Macaca fascicularis: one gene and its partners. The protein of the gene in region 1 interacts with the protein of each later gene in a biochemical or structural test. Links are inferred from orthologs where the notes say so. Each region holds a gene or a part of one and is shown in the gene's direction. Other genes may lie near its edges. The genes, in order: RHOA, ARHGAP32, KCTD13, MCF2, PLD1, RTKN and ARHGAP35.

Region 1 (3,605 bases):
CGCGCCCGGCCAGGAATACTGGTTTTATGTGGACACAGGGACCAGTTGTGACAAACTAGGTAGAAATGTGATGACATCTTCAGGATTGGTGTCAAGTAATAGCCCTCTTATCTTAGATTGATACACCATACATAGAAAGATCCATTGGCTTGGGGAAGCAATGGTAGGTTGGCATTTTCATAGCTCATTTCTCAAAAGCCTAGTGAATGTGTATTACTGGTTGTATCCTAACATTTTCTCCAGAGAGTGGCCGTTAGTTGCTGCATGTCTGTGAGCATGAACTGGAAGAGTCTTTTCCACCTGTGGCAGTATGTATGTTTTGGAAGCAGCTCTTAGGTTCTCTTGGAAACATCATCTCTGCCTGGGCATCTTGGAACAACCAGAATCTTGCCCATAACAGATTTAGAGATCTTGACTTAAAACCTTGAGGCATGGTCTGTGAGAATCTTGTGCTGCAAACGTTGGACATCACTGACCCTCGCAAGATAGGGGGAGGTCCTCAATTGAGGAGAGTCCCCCGGAATAAAAGTGTTTGATTAAAGAGCATATCACAGGCTACCTGCCTGCCTCAGAGCGACTCAAGAGTCCCCAAGATGGGAGAGGGTACTGTGTAGGAATATTCATTTAACAGTATGTAATAGTACAAGGCTGGACACCATAGCTCACACCTGTAATCCCAGCACCTTGGGAGGCTGATGTGGGAGGATCACCAGAGGTCAGGAGTTTGAGACCAGCCTGCCCAACATGGCAAAACCCCATCTCTACTAAAAATACAAAAAATTAGCTGGGTGTGCCTTAGGCTGAGGCAGGAGATTCACTTGAACCTGGGAGGCAGAGGTTGCAGTGAGCTGACCGCCACTGCACTCCAGCCTGGGCGACAAGAGCAAAACTCTGTTTAAAAAAAAAAAAAAAAAAAAACCAAAAGCAAAACAAACAGGAAAAAAACACAAAAAAACAGTATGCAGTAGGACAGCCTAGGGAACCATACAAGATTGTAGGTGATTATGGTACCAAGAGTAGGCCGGCTCACAATGAAAAGGCTCCTTTTGATATGAGACAGGCTCAACACTTTGGCAGCATTTTATCAGGCGCCAATAGAGGCTGAATATATGAACACCGTGGGGTGGAGGGGGCTGAGAGAGTGGGATTTGTAAATGGGCTCCATTATTGTGAGGACAGACAGATTGTGATAATTGGGCATCAGTATATCTTTGTTACACATGATGGTGTGCATGACAGAAGTACGGTGGGCCTTGTGGCGGTTCTTTGTGATGATGCATCCTGGGGCAAAAGTTGGGGGGTAGAAGAACTGTCAGTTTTAGGGAAGAAATCATTTGGAAACTGAAATTTGGGCTGTGGAGGTGCTAAGAGAAGAAAGATGTGTTCCAAGTATTGGAGGGAAACCTCTTGGGCCTCAAAGGGCCTCTGTACAGAGGATGTTTAACAACGTTTAACATGGAGTTTGGTGATAAGAAGGGGTAGCAGAGCTGGCTGCAGTGCTGGACAGTGTTGAATGGGACTTGTGTTCAGAGCCCAGGCATTAGTTTACCCTTCTACCACAGAAGGGTGAGGATGTACCCGGATGTGAAAGGAGTACTCTCTCACCTTATGTGATGCATTATTTCAGCCATTTCTTGAGTAGTAAAGGCATAGCCAAAAGGACTTTGCTGTCATCTCAGGCATCTCAGGCCTTGCCTAACACCCAGCATGGTGTCTTTTCCTGCCTACCAACTCAAAATACAGATTTGTCTCCATGGTTTCCACATTATAGCAGAAAATTTACTTAGTCTTGTATCTTCCTCTCTTGCCTGTATGCCTGGTGGAATGTTATTTAAAATTTGACTTCTTCCCTCCTGTCTGCTTTCTTTCCTAGTACAATGTTACTTATAATTAAACACTTTTATAAGTTACAAAGTTATTTTTGATTTGACATTTTGAATTATGCCACTTGGTTCAGTTCTAGTATCTGTTTTGTTTTTTTCCTAATTGAGACAAGGTCTCCCTCCCTAGGATGGAGTGCACAATCTCTGCTTACTACAGCCTCCGCCTCCCAGGCTCAAGCAGTCCTCCCACCTCAGTCTCCCAAGTAGCTGGGACTACAGGCATGCACCACCACAGTCAGCTAATTTTTTTTTTTTTTTTTGAGACGGACTTTCGCTCCTGTTGGCCAGGCTAGAGTGCAACGGCGCAATCTCGGCTCATTGCAACCTCCGCCTCCCGGGTTCAAGCGATTCTCCTGCCTCAGCCTCCTGAGTAGCTGGGATTACAGGCATGCTTCACCATGCCCGGGTAATTTTGTATTTTTAGTAGAGATGGAGGTTCTCCATGTTGGTCAGGCTGGTCTCAAACTTCCGACCTCAGGTGATCTGTCTACCTTGGCCTCCCAAAGTGCTGGGATTACAGGTGTGAGCTACCGCGCCCGGCCCACACTCAGCTAATTTTTATTTATTTTATATTTATTTTTTTCTAGAGACAGAGGCTCGCTCTGTCGTCCAGGCTAGAGTGCTGGAGTGCAGTGGCGCGATCTCGGCTCACTGCAACCTCCGCCTCTCGAGTTCAAGCAGTTCTCCTGCCTCAGCCTCCTGAGTAGCTGGGACTACAGGCACACGCTGCCATGCCCGGCTAATTTATTTTGTATTTTAGTAGGGACGGGGTTTCACCGTGTTGCCCAGGCTGGTCTCAAACTCCTGAGCTCAGGCAATCAGCCTGCCTCGGCCTCCCAAAGTGCTGGGATTACAGGCGTGAGCTACTGCGCGTGGCCACACTCAGCTAATTTTTAAGGTTTTTTTGTAGAGATAGGCTCTCAGATTTTCAATTTTGAGAAATTTCAACGTAAAATAATTTAAATATACTCTCATTTGAGCTTGATGCTCATAAAAGTAAATACTCAACTGGGCACAGTGGCTCACGCCTGTAATCCCAGCAGTTTGGGAGGCCAAGGCGGGCAGATCACGAGGTCAGGAGAACGAGACCATCCTGGCTAACACGGTGAAACCCTGTCTCTACTAAAATACAAAAAATTAGCCAGGCGTGGTGGCGGGTGCCTGTAGTCCCAGCTACTTAAGAGGCTGAGGTAGGAGAATGGTGTGAACCCGGGGGCGAAGCTTGCTTGAGCCAAGATCGTGCCACTGCACTCCAGCCTGGGCAACAGAGTGAGACTCCATCTCAAAAAAAAAAAAAGAAAAAATGTAAATACTCCTGTGTTTTACTGTTTTAGACCGTCTGCCATTTCAGTGTACTATGGTAAGTGTCACTTTTTCTAAAAGTGGGTAGGGGGATTAACCTTGCATTTTTGTGGTTGTTTTTCCCATTACAGGTAGAGTTGGCTTTGTGGGACACAGCTGGGCAGGAAGATTATGATCGCCTGAGGCCCCTCTCCTACCCAGATACCGATGTTATACTGATGTGTTTTTCCATCGACAGCCCTGATAGTTTAGGTGAGTGGCCCTGCATTTGCCTGTGTAACTGGTTGGCATCTGGTTTCTGGGCATCAAGTGGCTGAAAAGCAGACATGAACTTCAGAGAAGCAATCATCAGTGGCTAGAGTCCTGGAGTTTAGGACTGTAGAGTGTGGGCCTTGGGTCCCTTTCAGCCTAGGTTTCCCA
Region 2 (4,074 bases), on another chromosome or scaffold:
GAAATTTGTAAGAACTTTTTATATTTGAAATAAATAAACCCTTTGTGATATGTTTCAAATATTTTTTTCTCAACTTGTTTGCATTTTGACTTTGCTCATAATGTTGTTGCTGTTCTTGGTTTAAAAAATTTTATTTGAAAAGTTTTTAAAATTTATATATATATATTTTGAGACAGAGTCTTGCTGTGTTGCCCAGGCTGGAGTGCAGTGGCATGATTATGGCTCACAACAGCTTTGAACTCCGAGGCCCAGGCGATCCTCCCACCTCAGCCTCCTGAGTAGCTGGGACTACAGGGTACACCACCACACTTGGCTGCTTTTTTAACCCCCATAGAGATGAGGTCTCGCTACGTTGCCCAGGCTGGTCTTGAACTCCTGAGCTCAAGCGATGCATCCATCTCAGCCTCCCAAAGTGTTGGGATTACAGGTGTGAGCCACTGTGCTTGGGTTTTTATTTTCAAACGTGAAAATTCAAGAAGACATCAGTGGATGTCTTTTTAATTTTTAAGTTAATCAGATACAATGGAAGGTGAGGGCTTTGCAGTTTGTTGCTGCTCAGTAAAAGACAAATAGCCATGAATATCCAACAGGTCAATAGTTTCTGTCAACATGGCTCTTTTCTAAGTAACAGTTGTGTTGTTGACAGTCATGGATGCTATATTTCACTCATTTCCCAGCAAGTCATTTTATTGCCACCGTGACTGTTTGCAGTTTAAATGTGTAAAAACTTTGCATGCTTTTTTTTTGAGGTTATTGTCAGCATCTTTGAACGTGTGACACTTAAACTTTTTCTTTCGAGGATTGTGGACAAGCCCAGCTTTTATGTCTCACTCTGGATACTTGAGCAGAGATGCATATGGCAGTCCTTACTGAGAGGAAGGAAAGATGGGTATAATATTGGAAGGCATGAACCTAGGCAGGTCCCTAGAGCATACTTATCTTCTCTACTTATTGTGAGCCTCCTTAACTGTGAGATCTATAACTGTGGTTCTCATGTGCTTGGCCCGTGGATGGTGTTGTTCTTTCTAGTTTTCTGTTTACCTTTCTGGAGTCTGAGATCAAAAAAAGGACACAAATAAAGCTTGCAATTTGAAAATACCTATTTTTAACTTACTAAGTGGAAACTTTGAGAAAAGTCATTATTACAGAATAATTAGTAAAAAATCACCTTCATTTGGATTCTGCTTTTGGTTATGTAGGTCACGCAGCCTAAGGCAGTGGGAGGGTCTAGGTGTCACCCAGTATGGCAGTCAGACGCAGTGACTGTGCTGCCTGTGATTTCCTGTCTGTACCCTGACTGTAATTAAACCAGCACCAGTACCTGTCACTGGGGTACCAGCCACACGTCTGAGTATACATAAGTAGAGCTGAACAGCCTGAATATTGGTGCTTTTTATTCCATGCCTGGAGGTCTAGTTGTGTTTTTCTTTTTTAAATACAAGATGGAGACTGAAAGTGAGAGTAGCACTTCAGGGGATGACAGTGTCTTCTGGTTGGAGTCTGAAGTTACAGTCCAGGTGACTGACTGTGAAGAGGAAGAAAGGGAAGAGAAGTTCAGGTAACTATGGAATTCACAGTTCCTTTGTCCTCTTCACTCCCTACCCCCACCCGCACCCCTTTTTCTTCTCTGCATTTCAGTCTCTTTTCCAATAAGACTTTCTGTTTTCTGGGGGAAGGTTTGGAGCTGAAGGGGGCAGGTTTTGAGTTGTATATAGCACTCCTCATTCCAGAACTTGCCCTGGACTTGTAAAATGCATTTTACATGGCTTGTTAGAACACCAGGAGGAGAAGGTGTTAGACAGGTTTTGTAGTAGCCTTTCAGGAATTTCAAGTAGAGACTCATAATGAACTACTACCCCTTCCTGTATCTGATTTGTATCAAATAGATTTGATCTGAATTTGTATCTAATAGATTTTTCTTCCTCTTTTTCTTGGAATGTGGTGTGTGTGTGTGTGTGTGTGTGTGTGTGTGTGTGTGTGTGTGTCTGCGTGCCTGCCTGCTTTGTTGGCCTTATGCATGGGTATAAAAAATTTTGATTAAGTACAGATTGGTTATTTTGTGACTTTGGTCCTTACCCTTGCCTCTGATCTTATATCTCACACCCCCCCTTCCCCCAAATCTCTCTTGGATTTTGAATCTCTGGTAGTATTAATAACTTCATAATTGAAGTTTTTAGAGGATGCCTCCTGATGAAGCAACTCTCAGTTTAGTGTCAGTGGTGAAGAAAGATGTCTTAACCAGTTTGTGAGAACAGAACCAGTGTTTCATTCATTCTGTTGTACTGTTGCAAATTTTAAGGGACTTTATTCTGGCTTTTCTTTTTCATTCAGAGTTAGCAATTTAATACTTTTAGAGCATCACAAAATCTCTTGATGAAGTTTGAAGTTTGCACTGCATGTCATCACTGCCACTCACGTGCAATTAAACATCTTTTGTAAGTTTACCTATGAGAACTCGGATAGGTGAATATACTATTTTCGTCAGATACTGTCTTTGTGTTTAATGCTGAAAAAGAGTTTCTCCTTTTCTCTAGTCAAAGGATTTCTTTATCCACAAATTTTATTTTTTAAAGTCTAGGTTAAATGATGGAAGGGATTGAATATTGGGAACTCTTGATAACCCTCACTAAATTTTTTACTCAGGGGTTCAAATAAATGAGAAGTATATTTTAAATTTTAAAAGAATAATTTTCAGAGTATAAAAATGAATTATTTTATTAGCATATGATTATTTTTTGTCTGAACTTTCTCATTTTCTCATAATTTTATTTAGCCTTTCAAATTTGAGTAAGTCCCTTCCCTTCCAAGGTCTGCTAATTGTTAGTCACATCTTCTGCTTTTTAATATGGTTTGTGTCTTGCTAACAATGAGTAGGAATAAAGTATTTGTTTTGTTTGTAATAAAACTTTTTGACCTGGTGTTCAAATTGTGGAAGTTATTTGGGTATTTGTCAAAGGAAGAAACCACTTGGAACTTATTTCGTCGTTGTTTTTATAACAAATTTGGTACTGTAATCCTAGATTTACTTGTTAGTCAGTGGGTGTCTCTCTCGGATTTTCTTTTGACATTTAAAAGCAAATTTGTGTAAGACTGAGCTCTTCTTTTCCTTGGGAGTATGTGACAGCATTTTCATTCTGAGAAACTGAGCTAGTGATGTGTTGTTTAAGGAAACTGTGATACCATAGGGCATTTGTCTTCTGTTTATAGTTGTATTTCCTATCTGAATAGCACCATGGCTCTCCTCAATCAGTTACATCTTTGCAATTTGATCTTATTTTATTTACAAATGTAACAATGAGGTGTGGGCAAGGCCCAATTTCATGTAGTGTTTCTCACACATTCAGCAGTGGGGCATGAGGAAATGCGGCAGCAGGGTGGTGTCACAACCTCGTGGTGGCTTCCTGCGAGATGCCTTGCAGGAAAATGGATGTGTGGGTGTGGAAGGGGAAGGATCGGATAGAACTTGCAGCTGTAACCTTGGGAGGACCAAATAGTAGACTCAGTGTGGTATGACCGTTGTTTTTGTAAAATTAATGTAATAATTAAAAAAATGTCTTAATGAGTTTTTGTAAAAATCTCTGCTATAATACATGTGACACCAAGCTGTCGTATTGGTTACATTTCCATTCACATACACACACACAACTAATGAGATGAGGGCAAAAGGTTGTGCACTTTTCTTTTTCCCTGAATAGCTTCTAAACTACATTTTAAATGCACTCCTAAAAGCCTGCTCTTGTGTAAGTTGAGGCACCATGGCTAAGAGAGTAAAGTCACACCGCACCTAGAATGTAGGCCTCTGGTGCTTCCAGGTGCCATCTGCTTTAGGAGGAAGTACTCTCAGAGACAAGTTAATGTTTGTCCAGTAGCTTTGGAAATAGCATTTATTTTTGGACTCAGTTGGATGAAAGGATCCTTTTTATTACATTCTTGCACTATGGGAAGTTGCCAGTCTCCGTCATGGAGGTAGTTTAAACTTGTCTGCCATTGACTTGCAGATCTCTCATTTTCTGAATCTTACTTGTAGTGTGAAGCTAGTAATCGGTATTATTACCCACCTTGTCATTGTGGCAA
Region 3 (4,240 bases), on another chromosome or scaffold:
AGTCAAAGAGGGACCTTGTCTGATGTTTTTTGTGAAATTATGCTCAACAGGACACCACCATGGCCTCACTGTTGGTGCCAGGCCAGCTCCTAGCAACATCAAGGCTTCTGGAGTGAGGGTGCAAACCAGCTCCCAGCTGGCAGCAGTTGCTTTCCTCTTTTACACCGCCACACTCAAAATCAGAATTGGCAACCCCTTTGGTAGAACATGAGCTCCTGGTCACTATAAGCCCACTTATACCCAGTAACGGGCCTACGTCACTCATTTACACTCTGACCTCTCTCCTGCGAGGTTGGTGATTGCACCAACCACGCCCAGAGAAAAGTCACTCTTCCAGCATCTCCCAGGGACCTGCTGGCAGGGCTGAAGATAGAACTCTGACTCTGTGTTTTCCCTCCAGCAACTTCCCTTGCTAGACATTGAAGTGGATTGTTAAATCCCTGACGTATCGGCTTCTAAACTGGATGCAGATAGGGTCAGATAAAAACACTTCTCAGTGCACCTTCTTGTCAACAGTGGGTTCCTATCTTTTCTTCTTTCTTTTGGGATTGGGTGCTAGGTCCCATGACATTAGCTAGGATTCTAAGACCTTTGCTCAGCTGCTGCTGCCACCACTGACACGCACTCTGCTCCTCAAATACGGAGAGCGTGTTCCTGCCTTGAGGATCTTTGCATTTGCCTTCCCTCTGCTTGGAACTCTTCCCTCACATCCGCTTCCTAGCTTCAGCTCGGCATCACCTCCTCAGAGAGGCCTTCTATCCTTGGTGCCCGGGCACCACTGCTACCCCTTTTGGCTTCTTTTTTTTTTTTTTTTTTTTTAAAGGATGCTATGTTGCCCAAGCTGGAGTGCAGTGGTCCGATCATGTATTAACTTCAGCTTCCAACTCCTGGCTTCAAGCGTTCCTCCTGCCTCGGCCTCCCGAGTAGCTAGGCTTACAGACTGGGGTTACAGGTGTGAGCCACCGCGCCCGGCCGCTTTGGCCTCCTTTAAGAGCTTCCCTCCGCGCTTTGTTCCAGTTCTCGTCACGGTCTGTTCAGTGCGCGGGGTTGGGAGGCGGGAAACTGCCCAATGCCCAGACCTCACGGTCTGTTTCTCCTCAAGCTCGTGAAGCTCTCTGACAGCAGAGACCCAATCACGAGGCGGAGACTTAGCCTTCCACATCGGCCAGCGGGTCGGCCGCATCCTCGATCTGGTCTTGGGGACTCGAGACCAGAGGGAAGAGCACGTCGACCCGCCCGGGGGACCTTAGGGCCACACGCCACCTATCCACCGGCTTCCCCAGCAAGCCCACTGCGCATGCTCCATACTCCAGCCCCGTCCCCATTCAGGGGCGGGCCGCGCCTGCGCAGCTACCCGGCACTGGCTTCCGGGTGGTGCGAGCGAGATGGGGCGGAGGGCCGGTCTCGCTGAGTAGAGGCGGTGAGTGGGCGTGTGCGCGGAGCGGTCTGGCCCGAGGGCTAGGGGCTGGCCGAGGGTCTTCGGGAGCAGGTCGCAGGGCGCGGAGAGAGCCTGGGATCGCCGTCTGCCGCTGCTACCCGGTATGTCGGCGGAGGCCTCGGGCCCGGCGGCCCCCGCGGCCCCGTCCCTGGAAGCCCCCAAGCCCTCGGGTCTCGAGCCTGGCCCCGCCGCCTACGGTCTCAAGCCGCTAACCCCGAACAGCAAATACGTGAAGCTGAACGTGGGCGGCTCGCTGCACTACACCACGCTGCGCACCCTCACGGGACAGGACACCATGCTGAAGGCCATGTTCAGCGGCCGCGTGGAGGTGCTGACCGATGCCGGAGGTACTAGCGGCGCCCCCACCGTGCCCCCATCCCCAGATCCCCAACTCCCGTTCCCCTCAGTCTCTCACCAACGGGGCTCCTCATGCCCCTTCTCTCTGCCCGCTGCTGTCCCGTCAACTCATTCTCAGCTCCCTCCAGCCCCGACATCCCATCTTCTCGCCTTTTCTCATTCATAATTTCTCTTCTCCTCCCCCAATCCTTTACCCCCAGCAATAACCAACACTTACGGAACCCCTAACTCTGCCAGGCGCTGTGGTAAGTGATTGAACGTGTCAGTTCATAATCCTCATGACTACCTCTCCCACCCTTCACGTCTCAGCTCAAGACTTGGGAACCAGCCCTGCTGCCTGCAGTACTACTCCTGGCAGCCTTCATCAGTTTCCTCCGACCGCCCAGCCTTTTGTTTCCCTCTCTGCTTCAGAACTGCTAACAACCAGCCAGGAGGGCTGGGAGATCTTGTCTGCCTCTGTGTTCCCCTGACACAGGTCCCTGTACGCTCTAGGAATCCATCTGTATATACACATTGCAGAAGGAGGCTGCTTTGGGTTTGCCAGGGACACCAGAGTGGAGGGTGGACAGGTGTCCTTGGCAGGTGAACCTTACCTTCTTGGAGTGTTGTATTCAAGTTTGGACCCTTCGTGCCCAAGTGAGACCTTGAAGTTTTGGAGTTTGGGAGTGGGAGAGTCTTAAGGGAGGGGTTAACAAGGACTGTGAGAGCAGTAGAATAAAAACTTGGGAGGCGGAGATCTGCCTTCAGGTATCAAAGGTGAAGAATTCGGCCAGGCACGGTGGCTCAAGCCTATAATCCCCGCACTTTGGGAGGCCAAGGCGGGTGGATCACCAGAGGTCAGGAGTTTGACACCAGCCTGACCAATATGGCGAAACTCCGTCTCTACTAAAAATACAAAAATTAGCCGGGCGTGGTGGTGTGCGCCTGTAGCCCAGCTACTTGCGAGGCTGAGACAGGAGAATCGCTTGAACCTGGGAGGCAGAGGTTGCAGTGAGCCGAGTCGGCGCCACTGCACTCCAGCCTGGGTGACAGAGTGAGACTCTGTCTCAGAAAAAAAAAAGGAAGAATTCATTTGTCCAATGAGTATTTGTAAAATATCAGTTAGTGCTGGAGATAGGTAAATGAACCTGACAAAATTATATAACTTCCCTTTTTTTAGGGAGGTGAGAGATCGGAAGACCAATAAGCAAGTAAACAAAATGTATATGCATATGCAATTGCAGATAGTAGTAAGTTCTTTCTTTTTTTTTTTTTTTTGATAGTAAGTTCTATGAAGAATATAAAAGTTAAAATGGCAGTGAACTGGACGGGGGAGGTAGACATTTTAATTAAATAGAATGGTGAGAATTAGCATCGGGGGTTAGCGGTTTATTGATAAGGTAATTCTGCAAGAACTTTCTCGTGGTGAGAGTCTTCTGACTGTAGACCAGATTTGGATGAATTAATTCTCTGGCTGGATATGTATAAACTTATGAGAGAACTCGCTGGAGATGTTTTAAAGAGATTTCTTGGCTGTGGCACAGGCTTGAGACAGATCAGTATTCAGACTTTTTTGTGGCTTTGGAATCCTTTTTCTTTTCTTTTCTTTTTTTTTTTTTTTTGAGATGGAGTTTCGCTCTTGTTGCCCAGGCTGTCTCGGCTCACCACAACCTCCGCCTCTCAGGTTCAAGCGATTCTCCTGCCTCAGCCTCCTGAGTAGTTGGGATTACAGGCATGCGCCACCACGCCTGGCTAATTTTGTGTTTTTATTAAAGACGGGGTTTCTCCATGTTGGTCAGGCTGGTCTCGAACTCCTGACCTCAGGTGATCCGCCCACCTCGGCCTCCTAAAGTGCTAGGATTACAGGCCTAAGTCACCACGCCTGGCCTTCTTTTCTTTTTCTTTTTCTTTTTTCTTTTTATTGTTTTGAGACGGAGTTTCCGTCTTATTGCCCAGGGAGTGCAATGGCGCGATTTCGGCTCACTGCAAACTCCACCTCCCAGGTTCAAGCTGTTCTCCTGCCTCACCCTCCCAAGTAGCTGGCATGCGTCACCAAGCCCAGCTAATTTTGTATTTTTAGTAGAGATGGGGTTTCTCCATGTTGGTCAGGCTGGTCTCAAACTCCTGACTTGAGGTGATCTACCCGCCTCAGCCTCCTAAAGTGTTGGAATTACAGGTGTGAATCACTACACCTGGCTGGAATCCTTTTTTCTTATAATTTAGGCCAGGTTTGGTGGCTCACGCCTATAATCCAAGTGTTTGGGAGGCTGAGATGGGAGGATCACTTGAGCCCAGGAGTTTGAGACCAGCCTGGGCAACATAGTGAGACTCCGTCTCTACAAAAAAATAATTTTTAATTTAGTAGTTCCAGGTCACTCAGCAAAGCCATCTTTCCCCCTGCTTCTCCCCACCCCACTAGGTTGGGTGCTGATTGACCGGAGCGGCCGCCACTTTGGTACAATCCTC
Region 4 (3,605 bases), on another chromosome or scaffold:
ACAAGAAAGGTGCTACAAAAATGAAGGATTTGGCTAGATTCAAACCAATGCAGCGACATCTTTTCTTGTATGAAAAAGCCATTGTTTTTTGCAAAAGGCGTGTTGAAAGTGGAGAAGGCTCTGATAGATACCCATCATACAGTTTTAAACACTGTTGGAAAGTAAGACAATTTGTATCGGGTAATGTAGTATTGTTTCGTGTGTGTGTGTGTGTGTGTGTGTGTGTGTGTGTGTGTGTCTCCCAGTTTGCACATTTTTTTTTGTTTCAAATAGTACATTTTATACTGTAGCTGCACATCTTTGTTGTTTTTTTTTTTAAATCTTAAGTCTTATGTAGAGGTCAGATGAATCATAACTTCTCTGCTTGAAGTGAAGGTGAGGGAATTCATAGCTTTGATTCCTGCCTTTCTTCTCACTACGATATTAGGTATTCCCCAAGGGGGCCCCCTAGCATCCCGAAGAGCATGGCTTGAGATTATGAGGAGTGTCCCGGCCTCCTCAGAAGCACTCTCTTTCCAGTGGCACTGGGTGAAGTTCTTGGTCTTATTAGAAAGGAGCCTTATGCTGCAGGAGAGACAGGGAGGAAAGAGTTGCCTCCTTTTCCTCAATGCAATTTAAAAATGGATAACTTTTGTATCTAGCATGTCCCCACCTTCCTTTCCATGTTCCTCCTCCATTCCCTAACTCCACCCTTCCTGGGTGTTCAAAGCCACCTATAGCTGAATCCTTTCCATATCTATCCTGTTCCATCTTTCAAAATTACTTTATTCTCTCCTATAAACTAAAATCCCCATTTTTTTCCTAATATTAGTTTGTTATTAAAATGAGAACAGTTTTGTTTGGGGAAGTTATTGACAACCCAATGATACTTAACAGCTGGTTTCTCCATTAGAGAAGAGGAACTTCCAATTCACATGATACCCATAATTGACAAATTTGAAGTTTTTTTTACATCTAATGAATTTCATCTTTTGAATTTTAAATTCTAAAACCAATATAACATTTGTCACAGAAAATTTCAAAAATAGAGAAAATGATTGTCCTTAATTCACCAACCACTATCACATTAGTCACTTTTCATGAGCATGTTCTTTCATGGTTCTCATCACCAGTATATTTGACAATTGATAAAATTTTCAGCAGCAGTTATAAAGTGGACAGGCAATATGTTTTGAGACAGGCATGAGGTGTTTGTATTAGGAGACTACCTATAAGCAGGCCTTGCTTTTGATTCTTCCCATAGGATCAGCAGCCCCTAGTTGTTTCTAACAAGGTTCCTGCCCAGGGTCAGGTCAAAAAGAAGTAGTTCTTCCTATCATCTATTTTCCCTGCTTCACTCTGAACCCACAGCAGCTTCTTTAAAACTCTTGTTTTCATCCAGTTGCTCCTTTGATTTTAGCAGTCCACCTCTAAGCCCCCAAATCTCAAAGGGCCTTCTAAGTCATTAACAAACATTGATTGAGAACCAAAAACTTGTAATCTATGTCACAGAGGGCTCAAATCTCTTGCTGTCTATATACCTATTCCTTGGGAATGTACTTTACCTTCATAGGCATATTTGACCCAAATCCATTTGATGTACATTTTATTGTGAGGTGACCTAATTTCTACCTAATACAGTATTTCTATTTCATATTAAGTTTCTATTTTACCTTTAATTTGTTACAATGATGGACATGCCAACAAAAGGTTTCTTGAGTACATTAAAGTAAGGGGGATATTAGGTGATTAAGTCATGAGAACTGAAACTGCAGTTAAGTACCATGGAAACAGAGAAGGTGGGATAGATGCAAGAAACATTTCAATAGAAAGTAGACAGATGGGCTTGATGACTTACTAGCTACAAAAATTAAATAATACCTGACATTGAAGGAAGAAAATCTTTCTGATTCTTCTTTGGTTCCCCAGTAATGCCGAATATCCTTAATAAAAAACATTAGCCAGTGATGCCTATAAGGCTTTAGACCAGGATTCCTGGGAAAATGGTGATACCACTGAAAATTAGGATATTTCTTAGGGTTCACTATGCTCACTTCTGCTTGCCTGCTTATCATGAGATTCCAGCATTAAGCAATTGCTAGCATTCCTAGTCAATGTGTTGTTTAACAATTTGGGTTATTGTTTTCAAAGTCTTACCCTTTTTAGAGAGGATCATAACCTTCTCTCTCACTTTTTTGTAACTTTTGTTTTAGATTCAGGGGGTACATCTGCAGGTTTGTTACCTGGCTGTATTGCATGATGTTGAGGTTTGGGGTACAAATATCCCATCACCCAGGTACTGAGCATTGTCCCCAAGAGTTAGTTTTCCAACCCTTGTCCCTCCCCCTCCATCCCTCCTCTGGTAGTCCCCAGTGTCTGTTGTTGCCTTTGTCTATGTCTCTCACTTTAAATGAACTCTTGTTTTGACTGCACCATACAAACCTGGAACCCCATGGCCTGACCATGTACTTTCTAATGATTTATATGTTATATTTTAAGTTGGCCACTTATATACAAGGAAAGGCCCTATCTAAAGTCAAAGTTCACCAGATGGGGAGATTCAAGTCCTTCAGATTCCTTAGTTCATGTGTTTATTATCATTGATTTTTAAAAATTTAACAAACCTGCACATAGTCCTTACTATGTGCAATACATAATGGTTAGATTTCCAGGGCAACTCAGAAAAGTTCACTTAATCGATAATGATGTACTAGATGTTTGCAATAAAAAATAACAAAAAAATTGCAATTTAAATAGGGGAAGGAGTAGAAAGCAAATTCATACTTTATTTTTTTTATTTTTTTATTTTTTGAGATGGAGTCTAGCTCTGTCGCCCAGGCTGGAGTGCAGTGGCCGGATCTCAGCTCACTGCAAGCTCCGCCTCCCGGGTTTATGCCATTCTCCTGCCTCAGCCTCCCGAGTAGCTGGGACTACAGGCGCCCGCCACCTCGCCCGGCTAGTTTTTTGTATTTTTTAGTAGAGACAGGGTTTCACCGTGTTAGCCAGGATGGTCTCGATCTCCTGACCTCGTGATCCGCCCGTCTCGGCCTCCCAAAGTGCTGGGATTACAGGCTTGAGCCACCGTGCCCGGCCTATTCAAATTCATACTTTAAAAAGCTCATTATAGAATCTAAGCATTTACTCCATGCTATTTAGTCCTTATATCAACCCTATGAAATAGATGTTCTTTCCATTTTATAGTTGAGGAAACTGAAGTTTAGAAAAGTTAAGCAACTTGCACCAAGACATATAGCTAGCAAGTGAATAGTAGAGATGTATTCCAATCCAGACCTCTCTAACTTCAAAGCCTGTGTGCCTTCCGGCTTATCATGTTATTAAGATAAAACCATGTAATGAAACAAAATTAATTTTTAAAAATATTGAATATGAGATCACTATTCATCTTAAATTGTGGTATTTGAGCGGAAGTAGGTTAGTTGGAATGGTGGAGTGAGAATATAAAGATAGTTTGGGACACTGTGAAAATAACTTCTTACTTACATTCAGGGTGGATGTCACGGGTTCTTTCATTAATATGTTAAGTTACATTTCTAAGCATAAGTACTTTTCTTCTCCTTGGTATGGCAATCTCCCTGGCACTACCTTTAATGCTTATCAGCTCTAAC
Region 5 (3,601 bases), about 29 Mb from region 1:
TTATCTCTTGCTCTAATTTAAAAACAAAGTCACAGAAAAACTCTTTCTGCTCAATTTTCAGCTTCTTAAATCTGGCCCAAATCACAGGTATTATAATAATTGACTTACTGTCATCATTTGTACTGTCATTCACATTTGATGCAGTAAAATTTTGCTTTGGGTCTCAATTAGCAGCCAATGTCTATGTGCAAACATCTCTTAAATCTTTTTTTAAAAAAGTTATTGTCACGTAGTCTGAAGGAGGCATTATTTGAAGTGGAAACAGAACTTTGAGGTTATAAAAGTCAAGAATCCTATGGTGCCAGATCCATTAAAAAAATTTTTTATATAGTGGAAATAGTGCAGACTAAAACTAAAATGAGTGTCCTTTAATATCTACAGAATTGTACTTTTTCAGGAGTTGATAATGTTGGAGAACACTGGGAACATATGCATGCTTAATAGTGTTTGTTTTTGGTACAGCCTTTCTTGCAGTAATTTGCATATTCTCCGACCCAAGAATTTTAATTCTAAAATTTCTTCTAATGAAATAATCACAGAAATGTACAAAATCACTTTTGATGAATCAACTATGTTCACTGGAACACTGTTTATAATAATGGGAAATTGGAAATTACCCAAAAGTCGGTAATAAAATAATTGGTTCAATAAATTTCACATGATAGGAAACTCTGCAGCCATTAAAATGATGATGCAAATCTACATTTATTTAAATACAAAGAGGGTAACAATATAATGATGTCTAGTTGTTAAATCCGGTGGTCAATTCTTATCTGAATTGGACAGCTCTCCTTGATATACTTCTTTGTGTGGTTTCAGGATCCCACATCCTCTGGCTTTTCTCCAGCCTCACTGGTTCCTCCTCCTCTCCCTTACTGTTGATGTGCACCCAGTCCTCTCCTCTGTCTGTCCTCACTTATTTGGTGAACTCAGAAAAAAATACAGCCTTTGAGCACATGCGTGAGGACAATTCTCAGATTTATATCTCTAAACAAGCCTTCTCTCCCAAACCCCAGTTGCATTTATCTGCTGCCTACTCAGCACTGCCACTTGCGTCTTTATAAATGTCTCAATAGGCTCAAAATCGAATTCCTGATCTCCCACAAACCAGCTCTACCCACAGAATTCCCTATCTCAGCTAAAGGCGACTACAGTTGTACATTATTATAGTTGCTCAAGACAAAAACCTTGCAGTCATCTTTGACGCCTCACTTTTTGACACACCCTACACATTCACTCTGTCAGTAAAACCTGTTGGGTCTATCTTCATCTCCACTGCCACCCAGGCCCAAGCCACCATCGTATCTCACATGGATTATGGGAGTAACTCCTAAATGGGCTTCCTGTTTCAACCCTTGCACCCTAGAGTGTGTTCTCAATACAGCAGCTGTATTTTAATATGTAAGTCAGATTCTGTCACTCCTCTGCACTGACGTCTACACTCTCCATTTCATTTAATATAAAAGCCAAAGCCCTTACAAGGCCAATTTTCCTATTGCTCTTTCCAGATAGCACAGGTCTTCTTGGTATTATTTCAGCCCATCAAGTATGTGGGAAAAGGACTTTGCCCTTAGTTTGAGTTCTAGCTCCATTACTAGTGTGCCTTGAGATGTTAGTTTCCCATCTACAGAATAAGAATCATCTGTCCTGTCTACCACACAGGATTAAGGTGAAAGTGCTTTTTAATCCTAAAGGCTTCTCTAAGTACAAGGGTTATTATAATTTTCAAATATCACTTCTAAAACTTGTCTCATTTGCTTGAGAAGTTTTTGTTATGTCTAGTCCCCTGTTTATGTAAGGTCAGTTCAGATAATAGTTCCTTTTATGTCAGGCACTCTGAGGATATGCGAGTAGCCAGGTCATGGTCTCTCAAATAATTTGCATATATGTATATATATATATTTGCATATATAGAGATAGGTAATAATAGACATATATCCTGCAACAAACTGCTTTATCCCAGTTACTCAATGTGAAGGTCACTTGTATTTCAGGGTCGTCCTTGGCTATCTTGATGACCCAAGTGAGGACATTCAGGATCCAGTGAGTGACAAATTCTTCAAGGAGGTGTGGGTTTCAACAGCAGCTCGAAATGCTACAATTTATGACAAGGTGAAGTTCACATATTCCTCCCCCCTTTCTTTTCACTGAATCTCATCACAAAAAGCATATTGTTATTTCTGCATATTATCGGTACAGGGTATTCTTAATACATGTAAAAAAACTAATACATTTCCAGGTTGTAATAAAATGCCTCTTTGTGGACCCTGAAAAACAACAGCAAAAAGCATCATGGATTTTGGTTTAGAAAAGTCTTTAGCAGCATTCTAATCTCTCCTGTGACGCAGGAATCCCATCGGCAGCATCCTTAGCACCTGGTTACCCAGCCTTTGTACATGTCTAGTGACAAAGAGAAGAGGGGCAGATGACATCAAAAAATAAGCCACAGCTGAGTCCAGCCTAGCTCAATTTGCTGGTATTATAACCTTGTATATAGTGACTTGACTTTCTGAATTTCTTTTTCCTCTCCTATAAATTGGGAGGAATATTCACAAGGGTAGTTATGAGGACAAAGAATAGTCTAGTGAATGTTTTTAGCACATAGTGTATAGTAAACAGTATTCATCCTTATGATGAAGCTTGTTAATATTAATAACAAGACATGTCATTTGTTGGACAGCTCTAGTTTTAGAAAGGTGTTTTAACACCAGCTCCATTTGATGCATACCAAATGTATCGCCTGTGAAGTCTACCCTTTGGTTATAATAAAAAATGTAAAAGAGTTCAGAGTTGTGTAACAGTGGAACAAGTTACTTCAAAAAGTAGCTAGTTGCCCATCAGGGAAAAATATACAAGCTGTGTTCTAGCCAAGACTAATTGACCATCTGTGAGAAGCTGGAGAAGTCTGTGTTCTTCTTCATGATTTCCAGGTACAGACGTGAACCTCTTTTAAAAACATTAGGGAAAATACGCAATTTTTGTCTTAGAGCTCCTTCCAGCAGAGAGACTTACTCTTACTGAAACATGTCTACTATCTGTATAACTTTATTTCTTTTCTTTTCTTTCTTTCTTTCTTTTTTCTTTAAATTGACATGGAGTCTCGCTGTGTTGCCCAGGCTGGAGTGCAGTGGCATGATCTCGGCTCACTGCAATCTCTACCTCCTGGGTTCAAGTGATTCTCCTGCCTCAGCCTCCCGAGTAGCTGGGACTACAGGTGCCCACCACACTCGTCTAATTTTTGTATTATACAGGCTGGTCTTGAACTCCTGACCTCAAGTGATCCACCCACCTTAGCCTCTCAAAGTGCCGGGATTACAGGCATGACCCAATGCTCCTGGCCCCTGTATAACCTTATTTCATCCTGAGGACTGAAGGCTGTGATCAAGTAGGCCATGTGCATAGAGTCATTAAAATGTAATTTTACAAATGCAGTGCACAGCCTTATTTGAGTCCTGGATTTGGGGGAAAACATCTATAAAAGACATTTTGGGGATAACAGGATAAATTTGAATATGAAGCATAACTTAAATGACATTATATAATTAATTTTCTTAGGTGTGAGAATAGTATTGTGATTATATAGGCACATGTCCTTATTCTT
Region 6 (4,197 bases), on another chromosome or scaffold:
GACCAGCCTTACCAACATGGTGTAACCCCGTCTCTACTGAAAATACAAAAATTAGCCAGACGTGGTGGCAGACACCTGTAATCCCAGCTACTCGGGAGGCTGAGGCAGGATAATCGATTGAACCCAGGAGGCAGAGGTTGCAGTGAGCCGAGATCATGCCATTGCACTCCAGCCTGGGTGACAGAGCGAGACTCTGTCTCAAAAAAATAAAAAATAAAAAATAAAAAGTAATATATATTTGTAATGCTTTTTAAGAGATAGGGTCCTTGGCTGGGCACGGTGGCTCAAGCCTGTAATCCCAGCACTTTGGGAGGCCGAGACGGGCGGATCACGAGGTCAGGAGATCGAGACCATCCTGGCTAACACAGTGAAACCCCGTCTCTACTAAAAAAAAAATACAAAAAACTAGCCGGGCAAGGTGGCGGGCACCTGTAGTCCCAGCTACTCGGGAGGCTGAGGCAGGAGAATGGTGTAAACCTGGGAGGGGGAGCTTGCAGTGAGCTGAGATCCGGGCACTGCACTCCAGCCTGGGTGACAGAGCGAGACTCCATCTCAAAAAAAAAAAAAAAAAAAAAAAGTGATGGGGTCCCACTATGTTGCCCAGGCTGGACTTGAGCTTTTGGGCTCAAGCCATCCTCCCACCTTAGGCTCCCGAGTAGCTGGGACTACAGGTATGCACCACCACCAGGCCAGGCTAATTTGTGTGTGTGTCTGTGTGTGTGTGTTTTGTTGAGACAGGATTTCACCATGTTGCCCAGGCTGGTCTCCAACTCCTGAGCTCAAGTAATCAGTCCCCCTTGGCCTCCCAAAGTGCTAGAATTACAGACTTGAGCCACTGTGCCCAGTCTTTTTTTTTTTTTTGAGATGTAGTTTTGCTCTTGTTTCCCAGACTGGAGTGCAGTAGCACAGTCTCAGCTCACCACAACCTCTGCTTCCTGGGTTCAAGCAATTCTCCTGCCTCAGCCTCTCAAGTAGCTGGGATTACAGGCATGCGCCACTACGGCCGGCTAAATGTTGTATTTTAGTAGAGACGGGGTTTCTCCATTTTGGTCAGGCTGGTCTCGAACCTGTGATCCACCCTCCTAAGCCTCCCAAAGTGCTGGGATTGCACCGCGCCCGGCTGCTCTTTATGGCTGCAAATATGGGGCACTTGCCTTGTGCCAGGCACTATGCTGGGCATTTTACCCTCATTCTTCTAGGTAATCCTCATAGCAACTTGAGAAGAGGTGATAATTACAGTATTCCCACTGAACAGATGAGAAAACTGAAGCTCAGAAAGGCCAATGACTGGACCAAGTCAATGACTGCAAGGTGAGTCAGTGGCAGAGCTGGGGTTTCACGACGTGTTTAAGCACCGCCTCATCAGTTGTGGCCACTAGGCTTTGGCGGATAGCCTCGCAGAGGAGCCTAAGTGGGGAGGGGGACGAAGAAGGAATATTCGGGACTGTGGGATGTTGAAATGGTCTCTTCAGAGGCTGCCGGGATTGAAACTGGGCAAGGTCCCAGGGCCCGAGTAGAGCCGGAACGTGCTACGCGGCGATCCCTTGGCCACGGGGTTTTCAGCGCCCGTGAAGCCAGGCTTGCCAGGCGGGGGCGGCTGGCGGGGCAGGGCTTCTCAGCCCGCCCCAAGTCCAGGTAAGCGCTTGCGACCCGCGCGGGCAGGGAGAACGCGCCTCCGCAGTGCTCGCGAGGTGCAGGGCGCCTCTGGCTCCGGGGCCGTCGGGCCAGGTCGGCTTGGCGCCCAGGGACTGGGCGGACGGGCTGGGCCTTTGGCGGGGGTGGAAGAGGAGGTTGCCGCGCCCTGCCCGGCCCAGGTGTCGTCTCCGGGGGCGGGGTTTGGAGCCCCGCAGCGGGAGATTCCCGGCCGGACTGGCGGGCAAGCGTCGAGAGACAGAAGCCGCGGAGAGGAGACTAAGCCGGGCGGCGCGGGGAGCGCACTGCGCAGGCGAAGTCGCAGGGCAGCCAACATGTTCTCCCGAAACCACCGGAGCCGGGTCACCGTGGCCAGGGGCTCCGCCCTGGAGATGGAGTTCAAACGCGGCCGCTTCCGACTCAGCCTCTTCAGCGACCCGCCCGAGGTGAGAGACCCGCGTCCCTGCCTTCCCCTTCCGCGGAATCCCGGGGGCAGCCCCAGCCACCTCGGCCTCCTTCCCTCGCCCGCGTGGACGCCGAGGGACGGGGACGCACTGTCTGGGTACAAACCCGACGGAGTTGTTGACTTGAAAAGTAAGGTGTGGACGGTCTGCATTTTCACTGGATCCGTGCTGCCCATTCCCCGGCCTGGTTAGGATGATTTGCCTGAGCCTGGAAAAAGCCAGGTTGGTCTCCATTTGTAGGGCCCCAGCTCGACTCCCAAAATGTGCCTGGACCCCAAAATGTCCTGGGTATCCCCAGGCCAAGGGCAGTGGGCAACTAGGCGGGCCCCAAACGCTCGGACTCTTGGCCTGGGCTCCCGCTTGTTCCCCTGCCGCCAGCCCCATCCCACAACCTGTCGCAGCCATCTGGGCCAGCCTGTCATCAATCCCGACTTTAGGCCGGGGTGGCTCGCTTCTCGGAAGCCCAATTCAAAGGCTCCTCTATGCCCCTGCAGGGCTTTTAACTCTTTGGGGTTACTTCCCACACGCAAAATTTCCGCCTCCTTTCCTGGTGCCTAAGAGGAGTCCAGCCCCTAGGCTGAGCGTTTCCCCCGTCCACCGTCCACGCGTTAACCGGTTGGAGCCCCACCTGTAAAGCCCTAGAGGCTAGGGCGGGGCTGAAGGTGTGTGGTTGAGCGGGGACTAACAGGGCGAATAGCTATCCCGAAGACTCTTCTGTCCCCAAGGTCAGACTCACACTCGCCCAAGGAGAGCCCAGTTCCAAGCCTTCCCTTCCGGGTCTGGAAAGGGTTAAGTGAGGTGGGCCTTCCTCCCGCCCCCTCGCCCTCCCGGCTGGGATTCCAGGCCTGGCTTCTGCCCTTTCCCTCCAGCCTGCCCAGAACAAAGGCTCTTTCACACCCTTGTCCCGGTGTCCCGTGCCTTCTCTGATTCAGAAGCTGGTGGGCCTGCGGAGAGGGGGCCTTTGTCGGGTCCCCTTGCCCCCAAGCGACTGGGCCCGAGGAACCCGCGTGGGGCCAGCGTGGGGCAGTAAGGGGCGAGGCCTGGGACCAGGAGGAGGGGCCTGGGAGCTGGGGCCGCCCCTGGGATTAGCCTGGCCTTCGGGGACAGCTCGGAGGAGCTGGGGCGGAGCCGCAGAGCCCGGCGGCCGCCGAGTGGAGTGTGACTCCGTGGGCCTGGCGTGGAGGCGGGGGCGCTAGGCTGCAGCTGGCTGGGATTCGGGGCTGGTTTCCTGTCTGGAAGGGAAGGGGCCTGCAGAAGGGAGCGGGACAGCAGCAGACAGGCACACCCCTGCTTTCCTCTCTCCCTCTCCTCCCTTCTCTGGAAAAGCGAGGTAATTGTGAGTCCAGGGTGGAGCGGGCTGGATGGGGGCCCTGAGTTGGAAGGGGTGGCCCTGGGGCTGGGCTGCTTTACCACCTCACCCCTTTGTCCTGGGCTCCCTGGGCTCACTCTCCCCTGAGGTCCTCACCTCTGTGGCTCTTTTTCCTAACTTTCTCAAACTAAGCCGGAACCCCTCTCGGAAAGCTCCAACCTCCTGCAAGCCCTATGGCTCTAGAACCTGCATGAGGCGTCGTTTCCCTGCCCCCTTCCAGTTGTGCCTGCCCCTCACTGCCCTCTCCACACATAGATTCTCTGTCCACCAGGCCAGGGATGTGGGCGGGGGCTGGGGAGCGGCCAGAGTCGGAATGAAAGGGCCTTTTTCTTCCACAGCTGGGAGAACAGCTGCCACCAAAGCGAGACTGGACACTCTGTGCCTAGAGCCCCCTCTGCAGCTGGCCTTTCCTCCTGGGACCCCACTCATCCTCACTTCGCTTTCCTTTTTTTCCCTGCCTGGCTCACAGCAGGGCCCCGGAGCAGCAGTGGGCGAGGAAAATTTGTCACAGCAGCCAGAGAGGTTTAACAGGAGTGCAGAGGGATAAGGGCAGCCTCTGACCTCTGCCCAAGAGCTGGCCACCTCTTTAAAGACTGAGGGAACAGTGGGAGGAGGAACTGTGGGACAGTGTGGTACCTGTCTGTCCCCCCTCTGGAGGGGCTGACAAAGGAAAGGGCACTGGGGGGCACAGAGATGCAGGACAGATTGCACATCCTGGAGGACCTGAATATG
Region 7 (4,033 bases), on another chromosome or scaffold:
CATCTTCCACGATCTGTACTTCCGGAGGAGTCCCAGAGGAACACCTCCTCAGTTCAGAGGAGTCAAGGGTTACAGCGGTGCCCTCTCCCATCACTACTCTTTTCCTTTCAGGCGCCCTAATTGACATTTGATTTGTAGTCATTTGCACAATGCTAAGTGACAGGCTTGGGCTGCACACAGTACCAGGCCGTCTTCCCTCTCCTGGGGATCAGGCGATCACAGAACCAAAAACAAGTTGCAAGGACGCGCGCGTTGGCTGCGGATTTTCTTCACAGCCAGGAGAAAGAGCACGCGCTCTCCATCCCCGCCTCTTCTTCCGGGACGACGAATTGCGGGGCTCGGATTGGGCTGAGGCGGGCCACGCCTCCTCATATCCTCCAATCAACTCCCTCTCTGGTGGGCTCCCTCCTTCTCAGCCCCGCCCCACCGCCCCACGTTACGTCGCTCCTTCTGGCCTCCTCCGTTATCCCGGGGGCTGCGGCTCGCGCGGCAAACCCACCTCCCGTTGCTTCCCATTGGCTGCTCAGGTCCCGCGCGAGCGGGATCGCGCCCTTCGCCCCCCACCCCCAAAACCGGGCCATGCCTCTCTCCTTCGGCTTTCTCCAGAAGCCAGCGCGAGGTGGCAGATCGGCTGCTTGAGGCGCGCGCGGAGACGCGCGCTCCTCCTGCGGGCCACTCCCTCTGCCCTGCGCCAACAGCTGCGCTGGCTGGCAGCCCCCCGCGCACGCGCGCTCCCCCACCCCGCTCCCTCTGCTCGTTTGCAGCTCGCCTAGAGCTCAGTCACGACGGCGGCCGCCGCAGTAGCTGCATTTTTGGGGGTGCACGCGCACTGCACCGTCCGCGGCGGTTCCTAACCTCAGGCAGCGGCGGTGGCAGTGAGACCCTCGGGTGCGCACGCGCTCTGACCTCTCCCCACTGCCTCGCTGGTCGTCCCTTCGCGGCGCGCGCCCAGGGGCCGTTATCCCCCTGCAACGGTCCACGCGCCGCGCACGCGCAGTAGCGAGGGGGCGCGCGCGCGGGAGCGGCCGTCGCAGGAAGGAGGTGCAGCCGCTGCCGCCATTGCGAGTGAGGGAGGGAGGGAGGGAGGGAGTGAGCGAGGCTGGTCCGCCCTCCCCCTGGTTCCCGCCCCTCCCCCCTTCCCCTCCCCGCCCCCCGCCCCGAGGGAGAGCCGCGGCGCGGCGGCAGGAGGAGGTGGAGGAGGCGGAGGAGGGAACCCGCGAGGGAGGGTCCGCCCGGCCCCCCGCCGCCGGAGCCGCCGCCGCCGCCGCCGCCTCAGCAGCCGCTGGACTAGGAGCAGGGGAACATGGCGCCGGGGCCCCCGTCGTTGCTGCCGGGATCCTGGAGGCCGGGGCCGCGCTGAGGGCGCCCAGCTGGTGAGTGCGCGAGCTCACGGGCCCCGGGCGGCGAGGCCGGGCGCCGCCCCGCTGAGGGGTCCAGGGGGAGGCGGGGACGGCGGGGCCCGGAGCCCGCGAACAATGGAGGAGCTGGAGGGGGAGGGGAGGAGCGGCCCCCCCAGCTCCCCGGGCCCCGCCGTCCCCGTCGCTTCGCGCGTCGGCCCGGCCCGTGGGGCCTTTCTGCCCTTTGGACCTACCCCTGCCCGCCGCAGCCCTGCTGTCCTCGCTGCCGCCCCCACCCCCGATCAGTTGGGATCTCGGTGTCTGCCTCAGAGCCTCTCCGACTTCAGCCATCCGGCTCCCAATTCTGCGACCCCCTTCCCTCTTCCACCCCTCCATAATGCCCTTCGCTCCTCCCGGGCTCTGCAGTGCTCTTGGGACCCACCTTTTTCTCATTGACCATTCTGCATCCCTTAATTGTGGCTCCCACTTTTGAGATCCGTGACCCTTCTGCTTCTTCTCGATTCTGCTCTCACCACCCTTCAGATCTGTCCTCGGCCCCTTCTTTGACCTACCTGCTGTGCTATTATTCTTGTCTCAGAATATGTTGCACCCTGGGAGCTGTCCCTTTAGGACCTGCGGTTCCAACCCCTTGGAGATCCATCTGAGACCCCTGTTCAACCAGGCACTGCTGCCCCAGGTCTTCCCCTTGGACTTAATCCGGTTCCCTCGTGGGCCCTACTATCTGCATTTCTGTCTGCCCTCTCACAGAGCCTGCTGCACCCCGGGATGCCCCTCGGCTGGCCTTCTGACCCTTCCGTGCCCCAGTTCATTCCCCTGATCCCCTCGGACTTGGCTGCACCGTGCTTGCCTCTTCCCCTTCTCAGCTCTTGTTACCGTTTGCCATTCAGACCCTTTCCTCTCTTCCATACCTTTCTGCCTCTTAGCTCTGCCCATTGCCCGACCTCAGATCTTGCTGCGCTCCCCTCACCTGCTTGCTTCTGACTGCCTTCCCGGGAAGCAGCCTCCTCCCGCTTCTCTGACTCTGCAGGTCTCCCATTTCTGCTGTTCACTCAACTGATCTCTCCCTAACTCAGACTGCCTTCAGTTTCAGCCCCAGTGTTCTCTTGGAGGTTTCCTGTTTCCCCCACCTCCTTTTTGGCACTTCTCTGAGCTACTGCATGCATTTGCTACTCCTTTCTTTGGCCTGTATCTCCTTCAGTTCTCTGCCTAAAAACTGCTTCCTGTCCCCTTTGCTCCAACTCCTCTCCTCCCCGTTTTAGCCCTTAGACATGCCCTTTAACGTCACTATACCTCTGATACCTCCCGGGCTGGTCACCCATCCCCTTCCCGTTGTGCATCTCACAGACCTGCCCCTAGATCCATTTTGTACCTGCACTTTCTCCTCGTTTTTTTCAATTCTGCCCCATCCTCTATTTAGTGTTTCCCTCCCCAGCTCGGCTGTTTCGGAGCTGTCCACTTGCCCGCATGTTTTTAGACCGGTTTTTAACTTCTGTATTGCCGTCCGCGCTTGGAGCGGTCCTTTAACACTGGGGTTCTTGTCACTGTGTCCCCTCTCTGTTCCCTCCCGAGTCTTAAGTTTTCCACATGACATTCTCTTCCCCCCACCATTTTGATTCAGCCTTCACCCTTCACTCTGCTTTATTTGCCCCCCCGTCCACTGCCCTGCCTCTTGTCTTCTTTTGGAGTTCTCACTCCCTCCAATTGTGACATTAAGATGTCTTCTTAATCATTCTTTCCTATGTATCCCCCCCACCTTCCTCTTGGAGCTGCCTCAGTGCTGTGATAGATTCTCACTCCCCTTACTCACCTTTGATATCCCTCTCCCAATTCTGTTCGTCTTGGACTTGTTTCCTTCCTCACCTTTTTTTTTTTCCCTTTCCCCTTGTATCTTGGCAGGCTCCTCTTCCCATTTAGTTCCTATCAGACCTGCTCATCGCAGCTCACCACCCGTGGCCCACCCATTCCCCATTGAGCACTTCCCCTTTCAGGCATGTCTTTCTCTGTTTTCCATCCCTCTGCTGCAGAGGCAAAGGGGCTGGATTGGGCCTTAGGCTCTCAGGCTCTGAGACTGCAGATTCTCTCTCTGCACCCTAACCCTGAGGGTTCTATCCCCAGGGATCCTGAGAGATCTGGGTAAATAGGTGGGAGTTGGTTGATTGTTACTGCTCTGTGGAGTCTGGGAGTGTCTCCCCCATTTCTCCCACTTCCACTAGGTTAGTAGTGTGGAGGGAGGTAGATCTCTTTCCGTTGCCCCATTTTCTTTTCTCTGCTGTTTGCTCTCCCCCTTCCGATTTCTGGGCTCTGCAGCTTTGTGTCCTTTGGAAAAGGGGATTGCAGCTGCTCACAGATCTTTATTCTCTTTCTCACTTTCCCTCTTTCCTTCTCTGAGCGGTTGCATACAGTACCCTGTCTCCTATTCCACCTCTAAGCCAGCACCCCTAGGAGTGTGCTTTTTTTTCCCCCAGCTGACAAGTCATTTTGTTTTACCTCTAGCTGGGGAAATGCCAGTTCTCAGATTCTCCCGATCCCACTGGGGGTTATGGCCACACTTGGACCTAGGGAAGCTACAGTCTTGCCTTCCCTAATGGCCTCTGGTTTGCAGTGTGACCTTGGGGGAGGGGATGGGGAAGGTGGGCTTATTATTTCTTTTTCACCTCTGCTCCAGGGAAGGCTCC

What was found.
Region 2: of the proteins of RHOA (region 1) and ARHGAP32, one has a biochemical effect on the other in vitro, tested with the Homo sapiens proteins (3 studies listed by BioGRID). The link is inferred for Macaca fascicularis from reciprocal best matches to the Homo sapiens genes RHOA and ARHGAP32.
Region 3: of the proteins of RHOA (region 1) and KCTD13, one has a biochemical effect on the other in vitro, tested with the Homo sapiens proteins (2 studies listed by BioGRID, with this or other methods). The link is inferred for Macaca fascicularis from reciprocal best matches to the Homo sapiens genes RHOA and KCTD13.
Region 4: the proteins of RHOA (region 1) and MCF2 form a complex in vitro, tested with the Homo sapiens proteins (2 studies listed by BioGRID). The link is inferred for Macaca fascicularis from reciprocal best matches to the Homo sapiens genes RHOA and MCF2.
Region 5: the proteins of RHOA (region 1) and PLD1 form a complex in vitro, tested with the Homo sapiens proteins (2 studies listed by BioGRID, with this or other methods). The link is inferred for Macaca fascicularis from reciprocal best matches to the Homo sapiens genes RHOA and PLD1.
Region 6: the proteins of RHOA (region 1) and RTKN form a complex in vitro, tested with the Homo sapiens proteins (8 studies listed by BioGRID). The link is inferred for Macaca fascicularis from reciprocal best matches to the Homo sapiens genes RHOA and RTKN.
Region 7: the proteins of RHOA (region 1) and ARHGAP35 form a complex in vitro, tested with the Homo sapiens proteins (3 studies listed by BioGRID). The link is inferred for Macaca fascicularis from reciprocal best matches to the Homo sapiens genes RHOA and ARHGAP35.

Annotation. Positions count from the first base shown.
Region 1 is NC_088376.1:112,365,652-112,369,256, reverse strand, and holds part of RHOA (transforming protein RhoA), read left to right. Parts: intron 1-3,316; coding exon 3,317-3,437; intron 3,438-3,605. UniProt on the Homo sapiens protein: Small GTPase which cycles between an active GTP-bound and an inactive GDP-bound state.
Region 2 is NC_088388.1:127,704,066-127,708,139, reverse strand, and holds the start of ARHGAP32 (rho GTPase-activating protein 32), read left to right. Parts: upstream 1-1,240; 5' UTR 1,241-1,400; coding exon 1,401-1,558; intron 1,559-4,074. UniProt on the Homo sapiens protein: GTPase-activating protein (GAP) promoting GTP hydrolysis on RHOA, CDC42 and RAC1 small GTPases. May be involved in the differentiation of neuronal cells during the formation of neurite extensions.
Region 3 is NC_088394.1:28,174,744-28,178,983, forward strand, and holds the start of KCTD13 (BTB/POZ domain-containing adapter for CUL3-mediated RhoA degradation protein 1), read left to right. Parts: upstream 1-1,359; 5' UTR 1,360-1,541; coding exon 1,542-1,785; intron 1,786-4,193; coding exon 4,194-4,240. UniProt on the Homo sapiens protein: Substrate-specific adapter of a BCR (BTB-CUL3-RBX1) E3 ubiquitin-protein ligase complex required for synaptic transmission.
Region 4 is NC_088395.1:145,854,561-145,858,165, reverse strand, and holds part of MCF2 (proto-oncogene DBL), read left to right. Parts: coding exon 1-161; intron 162-3,605. UniProt on the Homo sapiens protein: Guanine nucleotide exchange factor (GEF) that modulates the Rho family of GTPases. Promotes the conversion of some member of the Rho family GTPase from the GDP-bound to the GTP-bound form. Isoform 1 exhibits no activity toward RHOA, RAC1 or CDC42.
Region 5 is NC_088376.1:83,081,703-83,085,303, reverse strand, and holds part of PLD1 (phospholipase D1), read left to right. Parts: intron 1-1,994; coding exon 1,995-2,112; intron 2,113-3,601. UniProt on the Homo sapiens protein: Function as phospholipase selective for phosphatidylcholine. Implicated as a critical step in numerous cellular pathways, including signal transduction, membrane trafficking, and the regulation of mitosis.
Region 6 is NC_088387.1:47,504,290-47,508,486, forward strand, and holds the start of RTKN (rhotekin), read left to right. Parts: upstream 1-1,364; 5' UTR 1,365-1,459; coding exon 1,460-1,635; exon of another isoform or gene 1,636-1,814; coding exon 1,815-2,078; intron 2,079-3,209; exon of another isoform or gene 3,210-3,432; intron 3,433-3,803; exon of another isoform or gene 3,804-4,158; coding exon of another isoform or gene 4,159-4,197. UniProt on the Homo sapiens protein: Mediates Rho signaling to activate NF-kappa-B and may confer increased resistance to apoptosis to cells in gastric tumorigenesis. May play a novel role in the organization of septin structures.
Region 7 is NC_088393.1:54,850,817-54,854,849, forward strand, and holds the start of ARHGAP35 (rho GTPase-activating protein 35), read left to right. Parts: upstream 1-1,154; 5' UTR 1,155-1,373; intron 1,374-4,033.